2 linked regions of the Saccharomyces cerevisiae S288C genome follow. The protein of the gene in region 1 purifies or fractionates together with the protein of each later gene. This does not show direct contact. Each region holds a gene or a part of one and is shown in the gene's direction. Other genes may lie near its edges.

Region 1 (3,231 bases):
CAAACCAGAAAGAGCCCCCCACTCGGTGGTCATGTTAGCAATAGTGAGTCTGTGATCGATAGGCAATGCATTCAAAGAGTCACCCGTGAATTCAATGGCGTGATTTAGAACTTGATCATTGTTGAAAAGCCCACATAATGCGACAATGATATCTTTTCCGGAAACACCCTGAGGCAATTGACCTTTCAACTCAACCTGAGCCACTGGTGGGATCTGCCACCACGTCTGTCCCGTGGCCCATATGGCTGCAGCGTCTGTTCTCACTATTGGAGTGCCCAGCGACCCCAGACCACCGTAGGTGTTTGAATGCGAGTCAGATGCGACAGTCATGTTCAAGGGGAAAGCATAGCCCTCCTCAATCATAATTTGATGACCAATACCTCTACCGGCAGGGTAGTGGTCTATATGGTGTTTCTTAGCAAAATTTTCGATGTTCTTGTACTTGGTCAAATTTTTCTCTGATTTGTTCTGAATATCGTGGTCCAGAGTGGTCACAATCTGTGAAGGATTCTTGATCTTGGTAGCGCCAAGCCCCATGAATTTCAAAGCTACAGGCCACGAATTATCGTGGGACATACAGTGTGCCGGCTTGATCGATACATAGTCACCAGAATGCACAACTTTACCCTCGGGAAGGTTGACCGCATACGACTGAACAATTTTTTCAGTTAGGTTCTGACCTTTCAACCAGGCCCTAGAACTGTGGAACGAACGAGTAAATGTGGTTGATCGTAGCATCTTGAAGCGATACAATTTTGTTTCCTTGCAAGTTCTATTTTATTGAAAAAGTGATATTGTCTACTATAAGAGGCAGCGCAAAACTAGCTATTGCACACACAAACACACGAGGATTCTTTTGTATATATAAATACCTATGGGGATATATATATATATATATATATGTGCGTGTCTGTACGTGTGTGTGGACATGAGATTGTGTATACCTGTGTATGTTGGTGATATTTGCTGCCTCTGGTATAGACTCATCGATTACAAAATTTCAGTCATCTCGAGCAAAATCCCGGGGGAAAAAACAATAAAAATTTTTTTTTTCCAAATCGCTCCATTCTGCTCACTTGACACGAAATTGTTTATCACTTGATACGTGTACATTTTACCGGGTTTGCGGTAATTTCGCACGAACAAGCAGTGAAAAAAGTCATAGGAAAATTTTTCACCGTAGCAGCCAACGCAGTTGCGTTTTTTCCAGTTTTTCCAACACCAGAGGACAGCTTTGGCTATTCTTTTCGGTGTTTGGTGCTGTTGTATCGCTGGCTTGTGGTATCTTCTGTTTCCTATTTAAAGTTGGTCAGTGCCCCCTTTCCAGTGGGCTTCTCCCCTGTGTGGGCTGTTTCTCTTCTATGGCACTTCAACTTCGCATTTTTCAAATTTTTATTCAACAATTCCCTTTTCTTGATCTCTTTCTTTTCAACTCTCAAGCCAAATATTTAATTGTTTCTTCCTACCCGCAAGCGTATATATATATAATATATATTCACACACGCAAATATGTCCGCCTCAGCTCAACATAGCCAAGCCCAACAACAACAACAACAAAAAAGCTGTAATTGCGATTTGCTATTATGGAGGAACCCTGTTCAAACCGGTAAATATTTCGGTGGGTCTCTGTTAGCCTTGTTAATTTTGAAAAAAGTTAACTTGATCACTTTCTTTTTGAAGGTTGCCTACACTATCTTATTCACAACAGGATCTATTGAATTCGTATCCAAGCTCTTTTTGGGACAAGGTTTAATCACCAAGTATGGTCCTAAAGAATGTCCAAATATCGCCGGCTTTATTAAGCCTCATATCGATGAAGCTTTGAAACAGCTACCAGTCTTCCAAGCCCACATAAGAAAGACTGTATTCGCTCAAGTCCCTAAGCACACTTTCAAGACCGCTGTTGCCTTATTTCTACTACACAAATTCTTCTCCTGGTTCTCTATCTGGACCATCGTCTTTGTTGCTGACATTTTTACCTTCACTTTGCCAGTTATCTACCATTCCTACAAGCATGAAATTGATGCTACTGTCGCTCAAGGTGTAGAAATTTCTAAGCAAAAGACCCAAGAGTTTTCTCAAATGGCTTGCGAAAAGACAAAACCATACTTGGACAAGGTTGAATCTAAATTGGGCCCAATTTCCAACTTGGTCAAATCTAAGACTGCTCCTGTGTCTTCTACTGCCGGTCCTCAAACCGCCAGCACTTCTAAGTTGGCCGCTGATGTTCCATTGGAACCAGAGTCTAAGGCTTACACATCTTCAGCTCAAGTTATGCCAGAAGTTCCACAACACGAACCTTCCACTACCCAAGAATTTAACGTCGATGAATTGTCTAATGAATTGAAGAAAAGTACAAAAAACTTGCAAAATGAATTGGAAAAAAACAACGCTTGAGTGCTTTTTTTTTTTCATTTCAAACAAGAATAGCTAACTTTTGTCTCTTTATTTACCACTACATATTACATTAGCCTATATATACTCATACGTTTCTCTCTCTTTACTTTCTGTACCCCCGAGGAAAAATACATAAATTATTTTTGAACTTTCCCTGCTTTTTTACCAACATTGCTACAGTTTAACCATTGCAGTTAAAAGTGCTCATCGTGTTAGTTAAATAAATAAATAATTAAGAGAAATAATAATAAAGTATCATACATAAATAAGAATAAAAAAAAAAAATGAAAAAAAAAAACTGTTAATTTTTTTTTTTACTGATTTACAAATTCCTTGTACCTCTATCTCAGCCCATGCATATATTGGTTGTTTTACTGCTTGATACCACTAGAAACCTCTAGTTGTTTAACGATGGGGTCTCTAACATTAGGGTTCAAGTCGTCATTAGTTAAAGATAGTTGGCTTGATGTCCATAAGTTAGACTCTTCCACAAATCCGCTCTCTCCAACACCCAATAAGCCACCTTGGCTTTCCCAGTCTCTGACACGTGGTAACTGTAGCTCATTGAACACATCATCAACTGCATTGATTAAGATGTCAGATAAATCGTTGGTGTGACCTGGCGTTGGGGTAATTCTCAATCTTTCGGTACCGCGAGCAACCGTAGGGAAGTTGATAGCTTGTACGTAGATTTGATGCTTATTGATTAAGATGTCAGAAGCTTGCTTAGCCAAATCAGCATTACCAATCAACACTGGGACGATATGAGAAGGATTTGGAATAACTGGAATGCCCAACTCATGGAAAGCTTTCTTTACGTACATGGTATGTTTC
Region 2 (3,285 bases), 600 kb from region 1:
AAAATTGAAAAGCTCTTTTAGTTTTTTGCCCATTGAATGGACTTCATTGCCTTCTGGATTGAATTGGAAACAATTATAAAAGACAAGGTTGAGGTCGTCGACAAATTGATCAATTGTTTTGTACTTCCAGTTCATTAAATTATTTGATATTGTACCCAAATCCATAGGATTCTTCACGACATCAAAGTAATTTGGTAGATTCAAAGCAATCGGATCAACAGGTTGTAAAAAGGGAAAATTTATATCCGAATTTTTTTTACTCATCAAAACCTTTAGTATTTTCAGACAAGTCCTGAATTTTTTTTGTAAAGTCTTTGATTTTGGTTTGGAGTTTTCATATATATCAAACAAATCTTTTGATTTGGGTGGATGAATTGTTCTTTTGGGTCTACCACCACTGACGCCTTCTCTATTTCCGCTTTCCCCAATATTGTCATTGGTGGTACTAACTGAACGTCTAATGACAAGTGGGGAATCCATATCCTCATTTTTTTTCCGGTTTCTGCTTGTTTTCTTCAAGGCAGAAGCGGGTAAAACTCTTGGTGGCATTGCAGATAACTTTTTTTCAAAATACTTTTGAATCCTTTTAGCCATCGAAGAGATTGAAGATTCTGGACCATTAAAGTTTAAACAATTATCCACCATTGTTTTGAAGTCCGATGTGACTTGCTCTACTGAATGATACACGTTGCCCTGCAATTTTGTTTCAATTAAAGACAAATCCATTGGGGTTTGAACGTAGTTGAAATAATGCGGGATGTTCAAAGCAATAGGATCAACCGGCTTCAGAAACGGTCTAGCATCTTTTAATCGTTTGGTCGCCTTAATGGAGCTTAAAAGGTATTTACTTTGGTGTGGTGGTAGTTCCTCCGCTTCCATTTCAGCTTCCAACGCCGGCTCTGTTTCCCGTTCTAGGCCCAAAGGGTGCTCGGGAAAACTTTCCGGAGTGGATGCATTACTAATGGAAATGGGAGACAAAGTTTGGTGGGCGTGGGATGAAGAATTCAGGTTAGTGATACCGCTGCTCGCAAGTTTGTAATTTTCCTCGTGTCCATAGTGGAAGATATCCCTGAAGTGGGGTCCATCGTCGATACTTACCGCGCTGACATTACCGCTATCGTCACCGACGCCGACATTGATATTGTTTTTGTTACTACTACTCTCGCTGCTGCTGTTGCTGCTCCTGCTATTTGCAGTAGCACTCTGTGGTGCTGCCAGTAAAGCAGAATGTGCGTGTCTTGTATCCATGTTAGTACGAGACATAGCCGCCGAGGTTTATTTCGCTCAATCTGTTTGTTTCAGTTTTTCCGCGTTCTCTCTTTTTCGCTCTTTTCTGGCTACCGCGCCCGCCTTATATATAAAATCTCTTCCGAATAACAAAGTGGCCGAAACAAGCGCCAACGTCGACCATTTTGCCACCGTGTCACTGTGCACGAGCAACGAAAAACTGGCGTTGGTTGCGCCTCACGAATTGCTTGAGCCTCTTCCCAATATCATCGCGCATTTATTTGAGTCATTCTCTGCCGCTTTATTATTAAAAGTCTGTGTGCTATCAAAATGCTCTTGCTCCTGTTCACCCTCTATGCGTAAACACTTGCGCGTTTCTCCCTTTCTCTTTTAGCGTTGTTGACGTTGCACTCTTTTTTCGCCTCTTTCTTTTTTTAGCTAGAGGGTCACCCTGCCTGCTTCACTCCATTAAGGGGAAGAAGAGTGGAAAAGTGCCGTATATAACAATGGTATATAGCAAATCCCGATTTAGTAGGAAGATAGAATAGTGAGCTCTTCCAAGGTAACCACGTCACATTATACTCATAACCATAGAATTCACAGAATTGAATCATGTCATTATATTACACCTTGGTTTTTGCCATTCTAGTGGTGGAGATTTTCATGTTCTCCATTCTAGCCCTACCAATCCCTTCTAGATACCGTAGGCCTCTCACCTTACTGTTATTAAAGCCGTTCAAATCCTCCACAGTGCAAGTTGCGATCAAGTGTGTACTTGGGTTCATTCTTTTGCTTTTCATCGATTGTATCAACAGAGTGTACAGCATCGACAAAGAGCTGCAGTTAAGTAGCGCCTCTCAAAATAATGGCGCTATAATCGCTCAAGATAGAATTGAGGTTCTTTCTAGGAAATTCTTTGCCCAAAGGAATATGTATTTGACAGGTATAACTTTGTTTTTGACCTTTGTCGTCGTTAGGACTTTTGGGCTAGTCATAGAACTTTTAACCATGAAAGACATATACAGAGCATCGCCTCCAGTAGCCTCCAGCGATGTCAAGAAGAACGACTCTGTTACTGCCGAAGCTGCTGCTCAATCCGGCGCTTCCAAGGATGACCACGGCGATGAGAAAAATTTTGAACTATTGAAGAAAATTCAGGACATCGATGACGAAATTGCACGTTTAAAGGAGAAGTCGGAATCGTTGCAAGAAGAAATAAATTAGTTTGACGTTTTATTCCTTTTCTTCTGCACAGAAGTGTGTATATATATATTTATATATAGTCGATGTGCAAAAGCCTACATTATTTTTCTTTTGATTTTTATTTTTTTGTTCAAGTAGGTTCATGCCGACAGTAAATCCTTATGCCCTACCTAAATATAAACACCCAAATATATATATATATATATATATATATAAATAATAAAAACGGAAAGGAAATAGAATAATAATAATAATACTACACGTTTACGTATGTAACTCATTCTATTATTCAGACTTTGATATTAATAGAATTATTACTACTAGGTTTCCTCACTTCAAAATCTATAAATATACCGTCATGCTCTAATCGATTGGAAAACTCAAAATATTCTCTTACTGTAGCATTGAACGTCTCAATTAAAACACAGATTTTTTGTATCCTTGTTCTCAACTTCATATCTTGGATCTGCTTCCAAATTGTCACCTCCCGCCCCCCAGTAACTTTCAAATCTTCCACATTCTGATTACCAATTTTGGCTACATCTTGCTCATCTTCCATACATTTGCCAAAAATATTAAAATCAGGCACCGGTATCTCAAAATCTAGACCATTACCGCATAAGGTAGCTAAGTTTCTCGTCTCACTTTCGTTCTTAGCAACACTCGCAACCAAATCTTTCGGGACGGGTAAAGGCTTCATGTACTTACTGCCTCCGTGGATTGTCCCCCATTTCATGTTCGCCAAATCTATTTTTTCGACGACTCTTCTATTGGTTTGAATAAATACCAGTTTGAATATTGTAGCAATACTATTGTGTTCCTTGATTTCATTAGAAAATCTCAACTCTGGTGGAC

Evidence for each region.
Region 2: the proteins of RTN1 (region 1) and YET3 purify together in Saccharomyces cerevisiae (affinity purification with mass spectrometry, with the first as the bait; one study listed by BioGRID). This does not show direct contact.

The regions. Positions count from the first base shown.
Region 1 is NC_001136.10:928,636-931,866, reverse strand, and holds RTN1 (Rtn1p), read left to right. Parts: upstream 1-1,509; coding exon 1,510-2,397; downstream 2,398-3,231. Other genes in the region: homoaconitate hydratase LYS4, read right to left, coding at 1-738; HEM1 (5-aminolevulinate synthase), read right to left, coding at 2,769-3,231.
Region 2 is NC_001136.10:329,002-332,286, reverse strand, and holds YET3 (Yet3p), read left to right. Parts: upstream 1-1,839; coding exon 1,840-2,451; downstream 2,452-3,285. Other genes in the region: BDF2 (Bdf2p), read right to left, coding at 1-1,263; AHK1 (Ahk1p), read right to left, coding at 2,720-3,285. UniProt on the Saccharomyces cerevisiae protein: May play a role in anterograde transport of membrane proteins from the endoplasmic reticulum to the Golgi. May be involved in invertase secretion.